Stegostoma tigrinum: one gene and its partners. The main gene of each other region encodes a partner of the protein of the gene in region 2 in a complex. Links are inferred from orthologs where the notes say so. Each region holds a gene or a part of one and is shown on either strand. Other genes may lie near its edges. The genes, in order: pierce1, tubulin alpha-1A chain and cfap276.

Evidence for each region.
Region 1: the proteins of tubulin alpha-1A chain (region 2) and pierce1 are in contact, whole or in part, in a cryo-EM structure (PDB 7UNG), measured with the Homo sapiens proteins. The link is inferred for Stegostoma tigrinum from reciprocal best matches to the Homo sapiens genes TUBA1A and PIERCE1. Residues at the interface, in NP_001257328.1 of Homo sapiens: Met1, Arg2, Gln15, Asn18, Ala19, Glu22, Cys25, Leu26, Glu27, His28, Gly29, Ile30, Gln31, Pro32, Asp33, Met36, Pro37, Asp39, Lys40, Asp46, Asp47, Ser48, Asn50, Glu77, Gly81, Thr82, Tyr83, Tyr224, Thr225, Asn228; in NP_001041730.1 of Homo sapiens: Tyr28, Pro35, Gly36, Arg37, Phe38, Trp43, Phe44, Arg45, Gly46, Tyr47, Arg48, Thr58, Ser59, Asn60, Gln61, Ala62, Tyr63, Gly64, Arg66, His71, Glu72, Pro74, Phe77, Tyr78, Pro79, Asn80, Ser81, Asn82, Lys83.
Region 3: the proteins of tubulin alpha-1A chain (region 2) and cfap276 are in contact, whole or in part, in a cryo-EM structure (PDB 7UNG), measured with the Homo sapiens proteins. The link is inferred for Stegostoma tigrinum from reciprocal best matches to the Homo sapiens genes TUBA1A and CFAP276. Residues at the interface, in NP_001257328.1 of Homo sapiens: Lys112, Glu113, Ile115, Asp116, Leu117, Leu119, Asp120, Arg123, Lys124, Asp127, Arg156, Ser158, Val159, Asp160, Gly162, Lys163, Leu195, Glu196, His197, Ser198, Asp199, Tyr262, Pro263, Arg264, Trp346, Lys430, Asp431, Glu434, Val435, Val437; in NP_001231954.1 of Homo sapiens: Pro43, Trp44, Arg46, Leu47, Asn48, Thr50, Pro51, Thr52, Ile53, Thr54, Ser55, Arg57, Arg58, Ala60, Tyr62, Asp64, Ile67, Pro68, Lys69, Asp70, Asp71, Phe74, Arg75, Lys90, Ser91, Leu94, Leu95, Asn96, Lys98, Thr99.

Annotation. Positions count from the first base shown.
Region 1 is NC_081382.1:43,955,845-43,963,149, forward strand, and holds pierce1 (piercer of microtubule wall 1 protein), read left to right. Parts: upstream 1-4,284; 5' UTR 4,285-4,307; coding exon 4,308-4,462; intron 4,463-6,130; coding exon 6,131-6,209; intron 6,210-6,659; coding exon 6,660-6,848; 3' UTR 6,849-6,923; downstream 6,924-7,305. UniProt on the Homo sapiens protein: Microtubule inner protein involved in the attachment of outer dynein arms (ODAs) to dynein-decorated doublet microtubules (DMTs) in cilia axoneme, which is required for motile cilia beating.
Region 2 is NC_081404.1:13,027,736-13,035,546, forward strand, and holds the start of tubulin alpha-1A chain, read right to left. Parts: upstream 3,030-7,811; 5' UTR 2,896-3,029; coding exon 2,893-2,895; intron 529-2,892; coding exon 306-528; intron 177-305; coding exon 28-176; intron 1-27. UniProt on the Homo sapiens protein: Tubulin is the major constituent of microtubules, a cylinder consisting of laterally associated linear protofilaments composed of alpha- and beta-tubulin heterodimers.
Region 3 is NC_081374.1:21,710,373-21,718,283, reverse strand, and holds the start of cfap276 (cilia- and flagella-associated protein 276), read left to right. Parts: upstream 1-4,850; 5' UTR 4,851-4,987; intron 4,988-5,382; coding exon of another isoform or gene 5,383-5,514; exon of another isoform or gene 5,515-5,919; intron 5,920-7,836; exon of another isoform or gene 7,837-7,911. Other genes in the region: elapor1 (endosome/lysosome-associated apoptosis and autophagy regulator 1), read right to left, coding at 5,383-5,514. UniProt on the Homo sapiens protein: Microtubule inner protein (MIP) part of the dynein-decorated doublet microtubules (DMTs) in cilia axoneme, which is required for motile cilia beating. May play an important role for the maintenance of myelin-axon integrity.

The DNA of each region.
Region 1 (7,305 bases), on a different chromosome or scaffold from region 2:
CTTGACATTCAATGGTGTTATCATTGCTGAAACCCCCACTATCAACATCCTGGAGGTTACCATTGACCAGAAACTCAGCTGAACTCACCATATAAATACAGCAGCTACAAGACTGGGTCAGAGACTGGGAATACTGCAGCGAGTAACTCACCTCCTGACTGCCCAAATCCTGTCCATCATGTACAAGGCACAAGTCAACACTGCAATGGAATGCTTCCCATTTGCCTGGATGATGCATGTTGCTGTGACTGAAAGTCTGTTTGCAGTGGGTTTCTGCAGGGTTCAGACTTGATTTCATGCTGTTTGTGGTCTACGTTAACGACTTGGAATTAAATGGAGGAAGTTTGAGCAAGAAATTTGCAGATGACATGGGAATCAGTAGGTGATAAATAGCGAGGAGGATGGCAGTAAAGAACTGGGCAGAGCAGTGACAGATGGAATTCAACCCAGACACATTAGGGGCAATACACTTGGGTGGGTTGATAAGGTGAGGGAATACACTGTGAATGGTAGCGTTCTGGGAAGCACTGAAGGTCAGATGGAGCTCGGCACGTATCCCTGGCGATACAGGGCAGTTAGATAACAAAGTTAAAAAGACACCGAGGGTACTTAAATAAAACAAAGAACTGTGGATGCTGAAGATCTGAAACAAAAACAGAAATTGTTGGTGGAACTCAGCAGGTCTGGCAGCATCTGTGGGAAGAAAGTAGAGTTCAAGTTTCAGATCCAGTGACTCTTCATGTTCTGAAGAAGTGCTCCTGGACATGAAACATTACCTCTGCTTTCTCTCCTTAAATGCTGCCACACCTACCCAGTTTCACCAGCAATATCTATTTTTATTCATAAGGGCCTATATTAGCTGAGATGTAAGAATACAAGAACAGGGAGGTTATATTGGAACTGTACGAAACACCAGCCAGGATGTAAGGAAGGTGTCTCTGCAGTTCTGGGAGGACATGACGCTGTAGAGGACATTTACCAGAACACTACCTGGGCTGGAGGATCTGAGCTGTGAGGAAAGATTGGGTAGACTGGGAACAGTGAAAATTGAGATGGACCTGACAGAGGGTATAAGAACATGAGGGAGATAGATAGAGTGGATAGGAAGGGCCGTTTTTCCAATTGTGGAGAAATCAATAAGCAGGGGCATAGATTTAAGGTCAGAGGTCGAAGGCGAAGAAGTGATTTGATTTTAGAGAATGTTGGGAATCTGGAACTCTGTGGTCGAATGGATTGTTGAATCAGAAACTTCGGTAACATTGGACAGCATTTCGATTCATTTGCATTGCCATAGCCTCCAGGCCGCTGAGCCATGAGCTGGAAAATGGGATTTGTGTTGTCAGATCTTTGTGCAGACCTTATGGGCTGAATGGCCTTCTTTTGTGCTATAAAGGTTTTAGAGTGTATGAGTGTATAAGAATAGTGCGCACCAAGCTAAACACTACCCATGCTAGGTCAAATTCCTGGAACTCTCGGACAGTACAGCCAATTCACCTACTGCACCAGGGACTGCAGCAGTTCAAGGAAGCCGCTCACCACCGCCGTCTCAAGCATGATGGATAATAATTGTTGGCTGATCCAGGGACTCCCACATCCTGGAAAAGAATTTTAAAATGCCTCGTTATTGGCTCGTTGTTTGCTGCTGGTAATTTTTCCTGAGCCATTCACTCAGTGACTGGTACCTTGCTATTTCCTTCCAGCCCAATGCATGGGCAAAGGCTGGCCCGAGCCCAGCTCAGCAATGGGGAGAATCAAATCCACCACATTGTCATTCCTGTGAACCCCACAATGGCTATCCTGCCCATTTGCCCCGGTACATCAAAAATGAATGAAAATTTGAACAATGCTTAGAAGACATAAAACTGAAAAGTGGTATATTGTGAAATGTTGGGATATTTAAAGAATTTGTGTAACTTCGAGTTGTGCAAATGACTTCTTGGCAAGCTCAGGGCTGATCTGCTGAGTTTGCAATTCTCATGTGATTGAGAAAGTTTGAAATTAGCTAATGGCCAGCGCAAAAGAATGTCAAATTCAACTGAAAAAGCTCGAGATTCCATGATGCTCAGAAATAATTAGGAGAGTAGTTGGGGGAATTTTCAAACTTCAGTTAACAGGGGAGTCCCCACTTCGTCTCAGAATCCCTACAGTGTGGAAACAGGCCAACACCAACCCTCTGAAGACAATCCCACCCATCCCTTTACCCTTAACCCTGCATTTCCCATCGCTAATGCACCTAACCTACACATTCCTGAACAATATGGAAAATTTAGCATGACCAATGTTTTCTCCGGGTGCTCCGGTTTCCTCCCACTGTCCAAAGATGTACAGGCTAGGTCGATTGGCCATGCTAAATTGCTGGTAGTGTTCAGGGGTGTGTGGGTATAGGGGGATGGGCCTGGGTGGGAAGCTTCAAGGGGCGGTGCGGACTTGTTGGGCCAAAGGGCCTGTTTCCACACTGTAGGGAATCTAATCTAATCAATCCACCCAGCCTGCACATCTTTGGTCTGTGAGAGGAAACTGGATCACCTGGTGGAAACCCACGCAGGCAATGTGCAAACTCCACTCAGACATTTGCCCAGGAATGGAATCAAAACCAGGCCCCTGGTGCTGCAAGGCAGCAGGGGTGACCACAGTGATTTCACCACAGCTACTTATCGAGTTCGATCCACCAAAGCAGGGAACTGATGTCCTTGTTTGCTGAGGTTTCAAATATTCAGCTGTAAGGGCATGCAAGAGACTGGAAAGCAGCCAAGACAGGCTCAGGCACATGGTATGAAAGCAGAAAGTGGTGCAGGAATTGGCAAAATGGGAACTTACCGCTAAGGAAAACAGAGAATTCAAATTTATTAAAACTGGTGGGAGGTTCAGAAAGGTTGGTAGGCAGAAAGACTGGCTTGCAGGAGGTGCACAATTATAATACTTAATCAGAGGCGGCAGTGGGCACAGTTAAGCAGAACTCCATTTTACAAAAAATGGATTTGAGTAATCTGAAGAGAAGTCCAGATACAGTTCCAAAAGGAAACATTAGGTTGCCTTCTCAAAACAAGTCCACGTTGCTGGAGGGAGGGAGCAAAGGACCTTGAGAAAACTGATTCCTGGGACAAAGGGGTTGAATCCTGGACGTATGCCCAGTGACAGTCAGTGTGTATGGGACTGTACCCCAGTGAGAGTCAGTGTGTGTGGGACTGTACCCCAGTGAGAGTCAGTGTGTGTGGGACTGTACCCCAGTGAGAGTCAGTGTGTGTGGGACTGTACCCCAGTGAGAGTCAGTGTGTGTGGGAGCTGTACCCCAGTGAGAGTCAGTGTGTGTGGGTCTGTACCCCAGTGAGAGTCAGTGTGTGTGGGACTGTACCCCAGTGAGAGTCAGTGTGTGTGGGACTGTACCCCAGTGAGAGTCAGTGTGTGTGGGAGCCGTACCCCAGTGAGAGTCAGTGTGTGTGGGACTGTACCCCAGTGAGAATCAGTGTGCGTAGGACTGTACCCCAGTGAGAGTCAGTGTGTGTGGGAGCTGTACCCCAGTGAGAGTCAGTGTGTGTGGGAGCTGTACCCCAGTGAGAGTCAGTGTGTGTGGGTCTGTACCCCAGTGAGAGTCAGTGTGTGTGGGACTGTACCCCAGTGAGAGTCAGTGTGTGTGGGTCTGTACCCCAGTGAGAGTCAGTGTGTGTGGGACTGTACCCCAGTGAGAATCAGTGTGCGTAGGACTGTACCCCAGTGAGAGTCAGTGTGTGTGGGAGCTGTACCCCAGTGAGAGTCAGTGTGTGTGGGACTGTACCCCAGTGAGAGTCAATGTGTGTGGGACTGTACCCCAGTGAGAGTCAGTGTGTGTGGGAGCTGTACCCCAGTGAGAGTCAGTGTGTGTGGGACTGTACCCCAGTGAGAGTCAGTGTGTGTGGGAGCTGTACCCCAGTGAGAGTCAGTGTGTGTGGGACTGTACCCCAATGAGAGTCAGTGTGTGTGGGACTGTACCCCAGTGAGAGTCAGTGTGTGTGGGACTGTACCCCAGTGAGAGTCAGTGTGTGTGTGGGACTGTACCCCAGTGAGAGTCAGTGTGTGTGGGACTGTACCCCAGTGAGAGTCAGTGTGTTTGGGACCGTACCCCAGTGACAGTCAGTGTGTGTGGGACTGTACCCCAGTGAGAGTCAGTGTGTGTGGGACTGTACCCCAGTGAGAGTCAGTGTGTGTGGGAGCACTGCCCGAAGGTGTGGGAGACGTTCCCCAGTAAGAGTCTCCCATTGGCTGCTGAAACACTGCTGGTCTGGAATGTATCAGTTCGTTGCCTGGTAACGATCTTGCTGCATTTTCTCGAGATGTCTCTGTGCGGAGTGAAGGAACCGACCGTGAAATATCTGAAAACCAGCCCAGAGCCAGAGCCCCCCGCCCCGTCCCGGACTAGCGAGTACTACCGGGTGAAACCTGGCCTCCCCGAGAGATTCGAGCATCCGAGCTGTTTCCAGGGATATGGGTACGGGTTTGGGATTTCACACCGGCGAGGGAGAGGAGGTGTGGGGTAGTGTGTCAGTGTTTTCAGGGGGTGCCCAGGGGTAGTGTGTCAGTGTTTACAGGGGGTGCCCAGGGGGAGTGTGTCAGTATTTATAGGGGTTCCCCAGGGGTAGTGTGTCAGTGTTTACAGGGGGTGCCCAGGGGGAGCGTGTCAGTGTTTACAGGAGAGTTCCCAGGGGGAGTGTGTCAGTATTTACAGGGGGTGCCCAGGGGGAGTGTATCAGTATTTACAGGAGAGTTCCCAGGGGGAGTGTATCAGTATCTACAGGGGGGGTCCCCAGGGGTAGTGTGTCAGTGTTTACAGGAGGGTCCCCAGGGGGCGTGTGTCAGTGTTTACAGGAGGGTCCCAAGGGGGAGTGTGTCAGTGTTTACAGGAGGGTCCCCAGGGGGAGTATGTCAGTTTCCCAGGCTCCCTTGGGGCAGGGAAGTGTGTCAGTATTTACAGGGCTTCTCCTGGGGTGGGGGGGATGTAGGGATTCTATGATTCTATGTGGTGATCTCATGGAAACATTAAAGAGATGAGGGGCTTGACAGGGTTACACTGAGGTGTGTTTTCTCTTGGATGGAAAGCCTAGCACAAGGGGCACCATCTCAGGATAAGGGCATTATCATTGAGGCCCAGGATGTGGACAAATTTCTTCACTCAGAGAATTGTGAATCTTTGGAATTCTCCAGAGGGTGCAGGCTGTTTAACTGCTGAGTATATTTAACGTTGGGATAGAAAGATCATAGAATCCCTACAGTGTGGAAACAGGACCTTCAGCCTAAAAGTTCACACTGACCCACACCGCATCCCACCCAGACCCATCCCCCATGACCCATCTAAATCCACACACCCCTGGCTAATTTAGCACGGCCAAGCCACCTAGCCTGCACATCTTTGGACTGAGAGGGGAAACCGGAGCACCCGGAAGAAACCCACGCAGACAGGGGGAGAATGTGCAAACTCCACACGGACAGCTACCCGAGGGTGGAATCAAACCCAGGTCCCTGGCCCTGTGAGGCTGCAGTGCTAACCACTGGGCCACCGTGATACCTTGTCCCTCAGGGAAGAAACAGATATGGGAAAATGGAGTTGAGATCAAGGATCAGCGTAAGGGTCTGCTCTTGGATTCTTAGTAAAGGGCAAAAGGATTGAGGGCCAGAAAAAGGGGTGTGAGGTGGTGGCCTGGTGTAGAACCTTAACGTCAGAGCCTGGGGCTGTTGTGGTTGGTATCAAGTAGTAACTCCTCACAAAGGGGTGCAGAAATCTGAAACACTTTCCTCCTCACTCAAAAAAAACGGCAGCAGTGGAACTGTATCTGAGGGAGGGTGAGTGCTGAGTGTTTGCTGCAGGAGAAAAAAAAAGTCAAAACAGCGAATCGTTCATTGTTGTTTGATGACACTTTTCAAGGTAAATGGAAATTAAAAGACCTGTCAACCTCCAATAAAAGAATGAAAGAACCGGAAGAGAGGCTGAACAGCCTCGTCCGGGTCATAGTTTGATCAGCAACCAGTGGTAAACAATGGGAAAGGTGATTGGCTGAATGGCCTTTCTCAGGAGTAGCCCAAGAGACAGTATTTATATAAATGCACATGTTTGATATCTGATTATCACCAGACTTGCATTTCATTGAATGACAATTGACAGATCTCGGCCAACCAACCCACTGTACAGGACGACAAACCAGACCTATGGCAGTCAGCAGCCAACAGTTCATGAAATGCCGGTAAGTAACGTCACTCGCTGAAGTCATCGGGTTTCATGGGAATTTCACAGAAATCTAACAGCCATGTGGGGTTGAATGGCCAATTTATAGTCGCTGTCCAGTTTGACAAATTCAACATAATTGGGATCCATACCTCACTGAGAGTCAGTGTGTGTGGGACTGTACCCCAGTGAGTTTCAGTGTGTGTGGGACTGTACCCCAGTGAGAGTCAGTGTGTGTGGGACTGTACCCCAGTGAGAGTCAGTGTGTGTGGGACTGTACCCCAGTGAGAGTCAGTGTGTGTAGGAGCCGTACCCTGGTGAGGGTTGGTGTGCATGGAAGCTGTACTGCAGTGACAGTCAGTGTGTGGGAGCCGTACCCCCGTGGAGAGACTGGGTTGTAGATCTGTAGCAGATCAAAGTGGGTGTAACTTACCCCATTCTCATCGTTGCTGACCGCTTGACTTTCCAGACCAGCTATTACACGGTGCCTCAGAAACTTTCAGAACATTTAAGCAAATGTGGGATGTACAAGGACCATGGATTTAACGTTGGCATGGAAAAATCGCTGGTCACTGGACCGGAAAACCTGATCACATTCCAGGACCGGCTGAACTTTCATCGGTCCTACTTCTCTGCTGGTCCTTCCTTCACAGATTAGGCAAGGCCCTGTTACTGCACAAACTCCAAATACAAATATGTTGTTGCAGCTTCTCAAACGCTGTCAACCCTCTGTGTAAAACTTTTCATTCATTGTATTTAAATACATCTTTTTAATACAAACTCAAAACTATTTGTCTTTTCTTTAAAAAAATGACAATTCACATTGCTTCAACCGTTCCAGTTGGTGCGAAAGATAGAGATTCACTGAGATCCAATTCCTAATTCAGACACAACTGGAGGGTCAGTGCTTTTCTTTTTAAAGGAGGGTGGCAGTGCTGCAGGAGTATTTCTCTGTTGAAGACACTATGTATTTTACAGGAAACATTAATGCAAAGACTGGTTTCCCTCGTGCCTTTCTACTGGTGTTCTGTTCCCACTGGTTCCCTCATTGTGAATGTCTATTTACCTGTTGCTGGTGTTTCTGGGGCCTCACTGCTGGAGCGTTACAGGTACCA
Region 2 (7,811 bases):
CGCCTTCCAAGGCAGGACTAAACTCACCAGTTTACGAACTCTGTCCAGAACCAAGTCAATGATCTCCTTGCCAATTGTGTAGTGACCACGGGCATAGTTATTAGCTGCATCTTCCTTCCCAGTGATCAGCTGCTCAGGGTGGAACAGCTGGCGGTAAGTACCAGTACGTACCTCATCTAGGATCGAGAGACAGTGCAATTTCAGTGTTACAATCAACACATGTAACCACAAGATGAAATCAGGCTCATGTGGCATAACCAGAGAAGAGGTCTGCACGGTTAGTGTTACACATGCCCCTCACCTACCTATTACAGTTGGCTCCAAGTCCACAAACACAGCTCGTGGAACATGTTTGCCTGCTCCTGTTTCACTGAAGAAGGTGTTGAAGGAATCATCTCCACCTCCGATGGTCTTGTCACTGGGCATCTGCCCATCAGGCTGGATGCCATGTTCCAAGCAGTAGAGCTCCCAGCAGGCATTTCCGATCTGGACTCCAGCCTGGCCAACATGGATACTGATGCACTCACGCTGTAAGAGAAACAAACAAAGTGGTGATCAACTAGTTTGACATCTGATCTAAAAACATTCCATACAAACTTTTACTGCATTCATGCTCTGGTAAGCATTACCTTTAGGAGAAAGTCTACTACTCCCTTGATGGGTAGGCAGGCAGATGCTACCTCCATCAGCAAAATACATCTGATTGTTGCCACAGATGTCTTACTAATCAGTTGTTAGGACAGTCATGAATGATGTAAAGGCTGGATAGGTAACCACATAGCAATTTGAGGCAGCTGAAGACATGTAGTTTATGAGAAGCATCTGTACTTGATTGGATTCCTTGTATGACACTGTATTGGAAAGCATTTGAGGGGGTGGTATTACTCCCATTGTGGTCACATGCATCAGGTCTATGCTTGACCTATACAGATGTGGTTCAACTGCATCAGGTCAACTTCTATTTAAGTATCATATACTTGACAGGAGTGCAACTCATGCTGGAGAGACATATGAAAGGGGCAGGCACGCAACTCAAGTTGGGACTGAAACAGAACTGAAATTTAGTATTTCAGATTTGCAGGTAATATGGAAATCAAGCACATCACCCAGCCATTTAGCAATCGGCATATGCCATCTTCAATATTGCATCAGTGTCAATTATGATAAAACAATTACTTCATAAAGTGTACTCCACCATCCCAACATACATTTAATGCTTTTAGCAATTGTTGACATTTCTCAAAGAAATTAAATCTTATTTTGAAATCAATGATTGTTCTTGGGTATACATTTAAGAGGATACTTGATTTAGACGTTTCCTGAAAAAAAATTGAAGCACAAGTAACGATTTTACAACCCACTAGACCCATCTGTAAAAACAGTTATAACCTAGAATGGGATTGCTGTATAAATCCAAAGTTTTTTTTAAAATGAAAAAAAATCGTGTATCATGGAGAATCTCAGAATCCCTACATGCAGAAGGGGGCTATTTGGCCCCTCGATCTGCACCGACCCCACCCCAAAGAGCATACGACCTAAAACCCTCCGCATCCCTGCATTTCCCGTGGCTAATCCGTTTAGCCTACATCTGTGAACACCATAGATAATTTAACACGGTCAATCCAACTAACCTGCACATTTTTGGATTGTTAGGGGAAAACCAGCAGAAACCCATACAGAAGCGGGGAAAACATACAAATTCCATAGTCACCCGAAGCTGGAATCGATCTTGTATCCCTGATACTGGCCAGAAAAAGGGCACATCCGTGCAATTCTTGCGTTTAGCATTGCAATACGCAAACTAGCTAGAATTTCTGGTTCGGATGCTGAATTTGGGTGGGGTCATACTGCAGTGCAGATTGTCTCCAACTGCCGCCATGTCTCCCCTCCCCCCGACCCCTCCCAGAAGGGAAGCAGACGGATTACAACCACTCTCCCCTACACCGCCATCTTTTTTATCTTTAAGCCCAGTAATTTAGACAGGCTCCATTATCCGTAGTTTGATTCTTAGCACAGCTTTACGATGTACAAAAGCTGCCTATTTCACGGTGACCTCGTGTTGACGTTGGCTTTGTGTCCACGTATGACCGTCACTGACGTGTACTGTTACTAAGCAGCCCTACAGTGATTTCACTAGGGAATGGGGACGAAAGCTTTCAGTTTGTAGCTATGGTTGACAAGCCATTGAGCAGTAAGTGTGGAAACGTCAGTAATCCCGACACAAAGCAATTTCGGGGGTCGGGGGGGGGGGGGGGGGGGAAGTATGCCAAATTCAGCTCACACCCTCTGCACGTTGAGAGTCACTGCCCATTGTGTTCCAACATCTCTTTCACATATCCTTGTAGACATATGCAGCGATTAGCTAGCGAAAAGCCTAGAAGTGATCTTAAATTCGCTGTTAAGTGTAACGGATTTTTTCCCTCCGGATAACATTACTTGCAGAAGTCCATTGAAATGGCTTTATTTCATCACCCTTAGCATTAAGTGTGAAATTGATTGTATTGACGGAAAATTGCATGCGAATAGCGTACGTGTACACTATCTTTGATAGCAAGTTATTCCCGTTGTAATTAAATCATTCACAGGCAACGTAGTTTGTTGCATTGTATTTGCAACACGAACAGATCATTTGGTCGGTTTATGCTCACATGAGCCACCTCCCACGCTATCAGCCTTTCTTCCGTTCCTTTCACTTCGGACCGCATTTAGCTATCCCGTGATGTTTATGTTCACGAGATTTGCGTAGTGGAATTTAGAAATTAAGTCAGACAAGTGTACTTAAAAACAACAATTAAGATGCTTAAAAACGAGAACAAGTCTTACAACACGAAATTCCAACGTGTAGCTTGCTGGGGAGAAAGAAAACTCTTTTTGTATTAAACAGCATCTTACCATGATGCCTGGTCCTTGATAGTAGACAAAACAAATGGAATAAAGAGAGGACTTCAGCGACTTCTTCCTACAGCGCGACTTTTACGGGTCGTCGTAAGAAAAAACCTACCCTCAGCTGGGAGAGACATGTTCTTATAGTGGGGCCAGACACCGGGTCCTGGTCAGTGGAGCCATTCCCATTGGAGGAGGTCTGTTTGAGTGACGAGGAACTATCACAATGCTGACTCTCTGATTGGAGGAAACATGCTCCGTTAACCGCTTCGCGGGTTCTGATTGGGTAGACGCTCCTGAATAAACTAATCGCCTTGACCACGAGTGATTTGGAACAAAGGCTGACATTTGAGAAAACAGCATTTGAACTGGCGACGAAATAGTAAGATTCCGGTTTTCAGAGGATAAAATACCTCAGCAATTAATCAAACCACTGTTCTTCTGAAGTAATAAGATGGCCTTGCCTTATAAAGAGAAATTCAAAGGAAATATTTTTTCACTGATAACATCATGGACTACGTTGAACTGCTTATTTGATGAAGGAAATTATTAAATATCTTATAAATACCAATTTACAGATTAACAATTTTCTGACTATTCTCTTCGTTAAAAAGTTTTTCATAATTAACGAAGCCACGTTTCCATCTATTTTACACAAGGAATTTCCCGCCCCCAACGAATAATGCATTCTTTTACAAACCACGTTCAATCTTTTAGCAGAATTACACGACTAGAACCTGCATGTAAAAAGGTGGTATTTTATTTACTGGCCACTGTAAAATTAATACAATAATTCGTGAAGTTTGTTACATTCGTGAAGTTTGTTACATTAGCTCTTTGTAACGATATAAGACGGAATTGCTGTTTCTCTCACTGTATCAGAAAATGTTCTACACGTTGCAATTCGGCCAGCGCGTTCTGTTAACGGCGCCTTCTCAGTTCTAAACTGTCACATCCCGACAAACTTCGCCGCAAATATTGCCCTCCATTGGGGCAGGATCGGGAGACAAAATAAAACGGATTCCTTGGTAATAGCAACTTTGTCTCTTGTTGCTATTGTTTCATGTTACGAAACTGGCTGTGGAATGGGACAGGGTGGGGCGGGGATTTTTCAGTCTTTTGTGCTGGACACGCGTCAATACAGTGTAACTATTTTAAATTGAAGCGGTTTCAGAGAAACAGTCTATTCCTGATTTTGTCGAATTATTAAAAAAAACGAATTTTAAAACATTTCCCACGAGCATTATTATTTTTATTCTATTGTATTTTAGGTGATTTTGACTGTCCGGAGTAGCATATTTCAGCAAACAGACAAAGGCAGTCCTACACACTGGATATAGGGACGTAGTTTTCTTTGCTGGTAGAGAAGGCATAAAGCTGATTATTACACCAGACATTAGCCCGGTGTAAGCTTCAATCACACCTATCAGCTGATGGAGGGAGTTTGTGTCTCGAAATGGAGGGGTCCAGATTCGATTGTATTGTAAGCGTCTCCAATAGATTTGTTGATGTTATCTGAACATATAAATGTGCCTGTTATATGTGGAAGTCAAATTTCGCTGTCTTATTTGTACGGGCAGAAAACCATATCTGGATATTTTCTAAAGTGGGAAAAATTATTATTCGCCCCCAGTAACAATTATGCATTTCAAAAGAATGGTCGCTCGTGTAACATGTGACTCACACTGCAGCTACAGCGTTCTACGTGATTCATTCTGCAGTGACTGCTTTCTCCCCTTTTCCTCAGGATGAGAGCACTAGGTAGTCACAATGAGCCATTTGCTACATCACCCAAGTAACCATTTTTTCACATGGTTGATCCTAAACAGCCATTCATCGCTTGTCATTGTCAGGAGAGTGAGGGCACAACCGTGCTGCTACATGGCGTGATATGGAGCCACGCAGAATAAGAGGGCACGGAAACAATCCAATCTCCCCATCCACATACGATCCTTTTCCCATCCTTCCCAAATCAATTCCATTAGAAAACCCTCCAATCCCTTTGTCTCAGATTCCCATCTAGGTTCTACTTGAATTAATCTATGCTATTTCCCTGCAGCCACTCCCTGGTAATGAATTCCACATTCTCACCATTCTTTTGGGTGAAGAAATTTCTTGGGAATTCCCTACTGGATTTCCTGGGGACTTTCATGTTGCTAACCTCTGGCTATACTCTTCCATACAAGAGGAAACATTCCTTCAGTATCCATAAAAAAAATTCATCCTTTCAAAGATCGCTATTTGCTCACCCCTTAATCTTTTTCAAGGGAAAACAGACAGCCTATTCACCCTTTCCTGATGGGTATAGCCTCACAGTTCTGGTATCATGATTTTCACAATCGGAGTAGGAATCATAGTTGATTTCACCCTGCCTGGCTCTTGGTCCTGAAGTTAGTTTTAGCAGTTACAGTCCCCAAGATCAACTAATTCATGACAAATAACTCCATTTCAACAAATGTCAGGCAGCTGAAATTCAATCCATAACTTTGTTCAACAGAATCTTCTAGATAAATAACACACTTCAGAAATGTTGCACTGCAATAATGATCTAATGAAGGAGAAACATTTGGTGTACAATAATAATTTTAAATGAATATAGAGAACAATAGTTATTTGGGAGAATTATGAGACTATAGTAAGTTGCTAGCAAATACTGAGGAACAAAGAGACCTTGGTGCACAAGTCCATAGATCCCTGAAGGTGTCAGCACAGGCAGACGGGGCGGTGAAGGTGGTGTACGGGAAGCTTGCCTTCATGAGCTAGGGTATAGAATTTGGAACAAGGAAGTCTTGTTACAATTTTATAAAGAACTGGTTAATCCACAGACGGAGAACTGTGTGCAGTTCTAATCACCAAATCCAAAGGATGTGACTGCACTGGAGAGGATACAGAGGAGATTCATCGGGATGTTGCCTGGGATGGAAAGTCTTAGTTATCAGGAGAGACTGAATAGCCTGGACTTGTTTTCCCTGGAGCAGAGGAGGCTGACGGGGGGATCTGATTGAAGCGTACAAAATCATGCAAGACATAGGTAGGGTCAATGCAAGAATCTTTTCCCCATGCAGATATGTCTAAGACCAGAGCAAATACGTTTATAGTGAGGAGTAGGTGGTTTTCAGGGAATCTGGGGAAAACGTTTTCCCCCAGAGTGTGGTAGAAATATGGAACATGCTGCCTGAGGGGGTGCTGGAGGCAGTTACTCTCACAACATATGAGCAGCAGCTGGATGAGTACTTAAAATACCACGGCATAGTAAGCTACAGACCAAGCACAGGTAAATGGGATTAGTTTGGTATTTGTTGTTCAGCATAGACATGGTGGGCTGAAGGGCCTGTTTCTATGCTGCATGTCTATGATGGCTGAAGACATGGTTGATAGTGATGGTGTTAAAAGAGGTGGAGATTTGAAAGAACATGGAGTTCTTGGAGAGTTGGAGTAGAACACAGTGATATGTTGGAGTGAGGCAATGATAATGAATAATACAAGAATGACCATTTTAAAAAGTTAGATTTAAGTGGACCAGGAACCAATATAGAATGATATACAGCCTGTTTTCTGATCCCTGAAATCAGATTACAAGCTGTTCACTTCACCTGTAGGCATCCAAACTCTGCTGCCCATTTCCAAATGCGGATCAAGTTCCATTCACTTGTCACCCCTGTGCTTGCTGTCCCTTGTGTCATTCTAGATGGTGACTGTTGATATGTAGTTCAATGATAGGTTAAATCTCAGCCAGGGCTGATGATAATGCTCATCTGCTATCTATGTGTCCTTCTCAGCAAGAGTCACTGAGGAAAGCTGAAAGTATAACTGATATTCTTTAGTTTGGAGACGTTGAAGTATCCCTCTTACTCCCCAGGCAATTCAGAAGGACCTTTCTGGTTTAATTTTCTGGCTGCATTATCCACTTGCCTACTGGCAGAACCACAGCCATCTTCAAATGTACACATGTTAATCCAGAAATCTGTCTACCAATGCCATTGATTCTGCCCAAGATACCGATCAATCAATCGCTGACCCTGGGTTTATTAAATCGACAGATAGATAATTAGAAATGTGAATCCTGTTGGGCCACTTTTGGCTTGCTGATTGTTTTTTATGAATAGTAAGAAGAACATTTTTCCTTTATAATAACGCATTTCTGCTACAATGAAACTTAAGGACAAATAATTAAATTATTTCCACAATTCTTTTGTTTACTGGTTCAAGAGCATGTCAGATTTGCCACTGTCAGTAATCTCAACACAGCTTGCCTCTCCTAGATTGCATGTTGGAAAGCTAATTAGAATGGACAGTCAATTTTTCAATCCTGTCGCTAGGAGATGAATAGCTCTGTTACCATGGAGACTGCCTTGGCACCCTGGTGGGTTGTAAGCCTCTTTTATCACATCAGAGCATACGACTGCTGTCACATCCATAAAACAGTATTTGCAATTCACTTTTTAGGATATTGTAGGCACTTCCACAATCCAATTTCCCTATATAATTGTGCAATATCTTTCAGAGAGAGTTGAAAGAAAAGAATCAGTATCTAATTGAATCAGAGATAATGGGAACTGCAGATGCTGGAGAATCTGAGATAACAAAGTGTGGAGCTGGATGAACACAGCAGGCCGAGCAGCATCTTAGGACAAAAGCTGACGTTTCGGGCCTAGAACCTTCATCAGAAAAGAAGATGCTGCTTGGTCTGCTGTGTTCATCCAGCTTCACACTTTGTTATCACGGCATCTAATTGAGTCAGTTTAGTTTGTAAGAACAGAAAGAAACTTGCATTTCATAATCTCAGGGTCTTCCAAACACTTTACAGCCAATGAAGCACTCCAGTTGTCTTCATTGTACTGTAGAAGACGTAGTCAGCAATTTGCATACACCACTCAATGTGATGATGACCAGATAACATTGTCTTCAGTGATGTTGGTTAAGTGATA
Region 3 (7,911 bases), on a different chromosome or scaffold from region 2:
ATTCAGAAACTGATCTGTATTTTTTAAAACTACTATCTTTTTAGACTCACCAGTTATTTACAAACTGTGCGTATGTGTGTTGTGTTACAATTTCTTCTGTGCAGTAAACAATAAACCCACACATTTTGTTCACTAAAGAAGCCTGGTTGAATTGGCTAATTTTATAACATAAGTTTATTTGGCTGTGGTAGATACGTATCCAGAGGGAAGGGACCCTTTTAAATTGTACTGCTGCAATGAACTGAGGGATGGACAAAGTAAAAAGGGTAGCCAGTTCATGCTTCCTCACCTGAGAGCCTAGACAGTGGTGTAGTTGTGATGTTACTGGATCTGTAATCCAGAACCTGAGGCTAATTTTCCAGGGATATAGATTTGAATGCCACCATCGCAGATGGTGCACTTTGAATTTAATGACAAGCTGGTCTAATGGCAACCATATTGATTGTTGTGAAAACCCATGTGGTTCACTAATGTCATTTACAGAAGGAAAATCTGCTGTTGTTACTTGGTCTGGCCAACATGTGACTCCAGACCAATGGCAATGTGGTTGGTCCTTAACCACCTAGAGATGGACAATAAATACTGCCTAGCCAGCGATGCCCTCATCCCATGAATGAATAAAAAATTCTGTGCCCTCAGGAAACCACGTGACCAGGCATCGTTAACACAGCATGCAGCTGGAGGAATACAGCAGGTGGGGCAGCACCACAGGAGTAGGAGAATCGCCATTTCAGGCCAAGATCCTTCATTAGGACTGATCTGCTGTGTTCCTCTAGCTCCACACTCTGACTCCAGCATCTGTAGTTCTTGCTATCTCCATTTTACGTTTGGTGGCTTGATTTTGAAAAGTGGATGTGGACACTTAAACAGGAGGCTCAATGAGATATTCTCATTGAAGAATTTATAAACTTCAATTCCCTCCCAATAAGAATGCACCATGAGGACCAGAGAGTGAATGGGTCCAGGGAGACAACTACATTCGCTAATGATTATGAGCTGATCCACAAACTCCTGTTTCCTAGTCACCTCAACCAATTGGAAAGGATGGGAAGAGCAATGGGTAAGTTAGGCATTCCTGGGAGAGAAGGAAATGTTGGAAGCCTTCCTCAGGACTGCAAGAATGATGTTGAGATGAATGGGGAGGCCACAAAACTTGTGTATTTTAACTACTGAGAGATGGGGCATGTCTGGGCCAACCTTTGGTATTACCAGAGAAATGAAAGGGGATTTATTGGAGCACAATCACCCATTCAGACAATGAGAGTCAGTCAGAAAGTATAGCAAACCAAGCTATGACTCCGACTGCAGCTGTGAATCCATGTAAAGGCGCTCCTGAGAGTACAGATGAGGTTAAACAAATCCCGGAGAGTTACTGGAATTTTATGAGCAAATGAAATGTGGCCACATTTCCCTAGTGTGAGGTAAGCAAGCCTCTAGCAATACTGAGGGATACCAGGGCCAGTCAGACTCTATTGTTATGAAAAGGCATGGCCCTCCTACCTGAGAGTGCAGCAAGTGGCAAGGTGCCAGTAGAAAGGATTAAAAGAGAGTATATGACTATTCCCCATTACCAGGTCCTGCTGGAGCGTGACCTTGTGTTGGGACTAGTGATCATGAAAGTTGTTGTACTCTGCCTGTGATAAAATCATAGAATCTCTCCAGTGTGGAAGTAGGCCGTTCAGCCTATTGAGTTCACACCACCCTTCCGAACTGCATCCCACCAAGACCCACCTTCTCACCCCACCCCTGTAACCCTGCATTTTCCATGGCTAAAATCAATGACTAGCATAATAGCATTCCCAATAGCTTCCAAGAAAACTACTGAGGAGGGAGACCAACCAGCTGCAGGAAAAAATGCCTGTCATTTTCCCTGACTGTGTGGTCTGTCAGATTATCAGATTATTTTTTGGGAGTTTAAAAGACTCCAAGCAGGTCGTAAATAGAGCTTTCTTGATAGCAACCCAACAAGTTGACCCATTGTTAAAATCATTAGCTCAGGCTGCTTATACTGGAGCTAAGGTAGAAGCAGTACTTCGGTGCTCCAACATTAAAAATGAAGTGCTGGTGAGAAAACGTAGACCTCTTCACTGATCTGCAAAAGAGGAGCAGGCAGCAGAGCCAGCAAGATCCTGTAGGCAATACTATGGCCAAGTCATGAAATTCTGATGGCGAGGCATGTCAGTGTATGCAAAACTCAAGCCCTAACATTTCTACTGGTCACAGCTTCATAGGAATGTAGAAAAGTTTTCAGAATCTACTGCACTTCCAGTTTGTAGGAAAACCCTAACCTGCAATAAAACCTGCACTTGATTCGCCCTTCAGTTTTTAGGGATGTATTCAACAGGGTGTTAATGGGCTATGTGGGACTCCAGCTCAAAATAAGAGGAGGATATCAGTGTATCCTTACTGTCACAGATATGGTTATTCTCCTGAGAACCACTATCTAGCAAAACAGTGGTGACGTAACTGATCCAATTCTTTACCTGGTGTGACCTGCCCCATTGTCTCAAGGCAGTTTTACAATTCTCATATTTGTGTTCTCATCTCTCAGTGGTCATGTACTTCCCTATTTCTATCACGTTATCATCCACTACAACTTCCCAAGGTCTCTGCACTCCGCCAAACCTGGCCAATTGTGCATCTCTGACTTCCTTTGTTCCACCATTGATGGATGTGCATTTAGTTAATTGTCTAAGCTCTGACTCTAAGCTATGCCCTCGTGCAAAACATCTCCTTTGAGAGTATAGGCTGCAGAATGCGAACTGGACAGATTCTCACCATTGTTTAAATCATTTCACATCAATGTTTTCCTCTCTCCCCCATGATATGAAAGGAGGTACATGGGGTGAATTTGCCAAAAATTGTTACTCCAATGACATAGGCAGTCATAGAACATAGAACATTACAGCACAGTACAGGCCCTTCAGCCCTCGATGTTGTGCCGACCTGTCATACCGATCTCAAGCCCATCTAACCTACGCTATTCCGTGTACGTCCATATGCTTGTCCAATGACGACTTAATTGTACCTAAAGTTGGCGAACCTACTACCATTGCAGGCAAAGCGTTCCATTCCCTTACTACTCTCTGAGTAAAGAAACTACCTCTGACATGTGTCCTATATCTTTCACCCTTCAATTTAAAGCAATGCCCCCTTGTGCTCACCATCACCATCCTAGGAAAAAGGCTCTCCCTATCCACCCTAGCTAACCCTCTGATTATTTTATATGTTTCAATTAAGTCACCTCTCAAGCTTCTTCTCTCTAATGAAAACAGCCTCAAGTCCCTCAGCCTTTCCTCGTAAGACCTTCCCTCCATACCAGGCAACATCCTAGTAAATCTCCTCTGCACCCTTTCCAAAGCTTCCACATCCTTCTTATAATGCGGTGACCAGAACTGTACACAATACTCCAAGTGCGGCTGCACCAGAGTTTTGTACAGCTTCACCATAACCTCTTGGTTCCGGAACTCGATCCCTCTATTAATAAAAGCTAAAACACTGTATGCCTTTTTAACAGCCCTGTCAACCTGGGTGGCAACTTTCAAGGATCTGTGTACGTGGTCACCGAGATCTCTCTGCTCATCTACACTGCTAAGAATCTTACCATTAGCCCAGTACTTTGCCTTCTGGTTACTCCTACCAAAGTGCATCACACTTCACACTTGTCTGCATTAAACTCCATTTGCCACCTCTCAGCCCAGTCAAATAAATGTCACTGCAATCTCGAGGCAAACATCCAAATAGAAAAACGCAGCAGGTTTGGCTGCATCTGTGAGGAAAAATCAAAGTTAATGGTTCGTTCTCAGGAAGGGTCACTGGACCCCAAACCTTACCTCTGATTTATTTTCCTCACCGATGCTGCCAGATCCGCTGAGCTTTTCCAGCAACTCCTGTTTTTGTTGCTGATTCACAGCTCTTGTCAAACATTCAAATATCTTACTCCCCTGTTACCATTTTAACATGCGTCTAAGTTCGCATCAGCTAAGTTCAAGTTTAAAAATTATATTAAATATTTAACAATTCAAGTCTCCTACATCACTGCCTGGGCAATGAAACAGGCTGATGCATCTGTCATGTAGAAAAGGCTGAAAGATAGTCAAACACTTCCAAGAATTTTACATATTATGTGCTTTGCTGTTGTTTGTAGAATTATTGCGAAGCTCATCATTGGGGCTCAGTTGGGTCAGGTGGCTGCACGGCTGTGTGTTCAATTCACCCACAGGCTGAAATTACCATAAATGGCTTTCCTTCTCAACCTCCCCCTTTGTTTGAGGCGCGGTGACCCACAGGTAAACCATCAGTATCATCTGTCTCTTTCAATAGAGACAGCAGTGCTACGGTCTGGTAGGGCGATTAGGAAGTTTGTGATCTTGTTTCAGAGGTTTTACTTCATTTTAATTAAAGGCATACTTTCTTAATTCATAGAACAGATAAGGAAACGTGTTTCTATTGCAGTTATTTTCATATTCAAGGTTAAAAATATAGATTAAATATTTGATCGAAAAACAATGTCCTGAATAGTTTGCATCAAATGAAGTTATCAACAAATATTATTAGCGACCACCCTGAAGAAAACGCTATTATTGTTTCACCATTGGAATGGGTTAGTTCGCGATCTCACATTTTTCACCTTTGCTGCTCTCTCCCTTGTAATATATATATGGTAATTTTTTTTATTTTGAAAGAAAATCGAAAATACGTTTTACGCAGGTTGATCGTGATGTCTTGGTGTAAAACCTGCAGGTTGACTGTCAGGTTATCACAGCATTTCACACACCACCTAGCGGTACACACTGTCCTGCGCCCGCGCTTCGACACAGACACGGACTTCAATAGGTGCCAACAGGAACCTTCACTGAACTCTTCAGAAGCTGACATCGACCTGCACGCCAACAGATTGATCACCAAACGGTGGTTTTACCGGCAATATTTTCAGGTCACGTTGATACAATGAGATATAACTCAAAGGAGTCGAAAGAATTTTTGTGTGAGTAACATTTTGTGGCTTTCGATTAAGAGGTAATAACAACAAACACTTCACACCTTCATTAAACAAACACTTGTCAATTTCAGGATTTGTGTAGAATACAATTGATTCGCAGTTTACAGCAACAACTCTAATTATTAAACATCCTTAATGTGCCGTGCGACAGCTGCCAAATCAAAATTAAGTATTCCATATGGACACGGTACTAAACAAGTAAAATGCCTCGTTGAAATATCTTGTGCACAACAAACTTTGCAACTTGATAATTATGCATGCTTGTCTACGTTTCGGTTCAAATAGTAAACAAAGCTAAGAAATTCTACAATTTATTTTCAATCATAACTGCATTATTACAAATACAGAATAGCTAGAATACAGTAATGAATGCACCGTACCTCTTTGCAAATTGGAAGGTTTTCTCCAGACTGGTCCTGCAGGCTTAATATTTGCTGAGGTAATAATAGAAAACCTGTTGAGAAAAACAAAACACAAAGGAACAGACGAGGAAACGAGGTATTCCCACTCATGACTCGTCAGCTTGAGAGATAAATGTTGCGGACAATAAAATTGCAAGAGGGTCTGGGGGAATAGCAGACTCTCTCTCTCTTTCTCCTTGGCTGCCACGCCGTGCCTCGGACTTGTCAAATTGCGGGCACTGTGGAACTGAACTGGTGTCGCCGGGTCACGACCGTTCGTCAATTCGCGGAAATTCGCGGAAATTGCCGAGTCACACAGACAAACAGCGCAAGTGGCAGCTGCGCTGCCTTCTCAAGACGGACGGAAAAAAACAGTTGAGGCGGTGCGTCTTTCCCATGGGCTGTCTACACCAGACAACAAATGCAGCAAAGTTCTGTCTTATCTTCGAAATAATCATGCAGCGTCTGATACCGGCGTAAAACATTGTTGCACTACATCATTCCAATCTTGCGCAATAGGAGCGGACAAGAGGGACATGACAAGTGAAAGCTCTGAATCTTTAAAATAGGAATTCGACATTCTGTCCTTTAAATAATTCACATTCTGAGCACTGAATCTAAACGGGTCATCTTCGAAATTCTATTTCGATTCCAAACAAGCAGAACGTAAAAACTAAACAACTTATAGAACGAAAGAACAGAATGGTCTCTCGTCTGGTTAGATTTAAACTGCCCCTAAAATACATGCCCTCATTGTTCAAAAATGATCACTTTAAGATGAACACACACATCACCAGTGGAATTCAGTGGCCAATAGTATGCCAGGATTTTGTCTTGTTATTTTTAGCAGCATGTCCATCAGCTACCTTGCTGAATCCATTTAGGTGTAATAATTCTTCCTTCAAATCATTGGCATTTTCAGAGGGATAATCGACATTGGAGCGGGAGTAGGCTATTTGACATCTTTATCCTGCTTCATCACTCAACTGAACAATGACCTTCTGCCTCACTATTTCCCTCAACTATCCCCAAACCCCTTAACATGTTGTTTAAGTAGAAAGCTAATCATCTCTCTGTCAGGTTGCCCCTCAGCCTCCTGCATTCCAGTTACAACAAACCCAGGTCTTTCTTAATAGCTAAAATCCCCCTATACCTGCCAACATCCTGGTAAACCTTTTCTGTTCTGACTCCAATGCATCCACATCCTTCTGGTAGTGTGGACCAGAACTGTATGCAATATTCTAAGTGTGGCCTAACTAAAGTTTAGGGTGGCATGCTGGCTCAGTGGTTAGCACTGATGCCTCACAGCACCAGGGACATGGGTTCAAGTCCAACCTCAGGCGATTGTGTGTGTGTGGAGTTTGCACATTCTCCCCGTGTCTATGTGGGTTTCCTCCAAGTGCTCCAGTTTCCTCCCACAGTCCAAAGATGTGCCGGCTAGGTGGATCGGCCATGCTAAATCGTTGATAGTGTTCAGGGATGTTTAGGCTGCAGGGGCTGGGGCTGGGTGGGATGTTCTAGGGGTCAGTGTGAACTTGTTGGGCCGAAGGGCCTGTTTCCACACTGTAGAGATTCTATGATCTCTTACTTGAATATACTCAGTGACAGAGCCCCATTCCTCTGGAGTGGAGATTGCTGAAAATTTACCATCCTCCTTCACACAGATATACAAGGTGTAGAGCTGGATGAACACGGCAGGTATGGTGTGTGAATGGGGATGCGACAGGAGGAGTATAAACAGATCACCTATGATCTTTTTGAATGGCACAGCAGGATCATGGGGAAGAATGGTCTACTTCTGCTCCTGTTTCAGACTGGCAATGGAACCAAAGACTCTGAAGACACACAGAAAACAGCTAAATATTGTTAGTGAAGGAAATTTCTATAGAAGTATGAGCTCAATAGTTGAAGTGATCTGTCTCATGTTTGTAATATATATGAAATCACTTGAGCTGTCACACACAGGAGAAGTAAGTTTTTTTTTAAATTTCAGTGTTCCGACTGAATTGACTTTATATTAGCTTCATCTGCCTTTCCTGTGGATGTAATGATTTCATCATTTTTTGTCATCTCCACCTGAAACGTCAGCTCTCCTGCTCCTGCAATGCTGCCTGCCCTGCTGTGTTCCTCCAGCTCCACACCTTGTTATCTAAATAAATGAGAATTTGTTTCTATTCCTTCAGTTACGTTTGTAGACTATTGTGTACTACAAAGTGGAAATTAACCTTAGAATGCTGCTTATTTGTATTTGCCAACAACTTTACTCCCTAATAATAAAGTTGTTAAGTTATACAGCATGATAAACAGACCCTTCAGTCCAACTAGTCTATGCCAACTATGTTCCCAAACTAAACTAGTCCCACCTGCCTTCGTTTGGCCTGTATCCGCCAAACCTTTCCTATTCATTTTTCTTTATTCTTTATTGATTCACAGGATGAGGGCTTGGCTGGGCAGGCAGCATTTATTACCCATCCCTAATTGCCCAGAGGGAAATTGGGAGCCAACCAA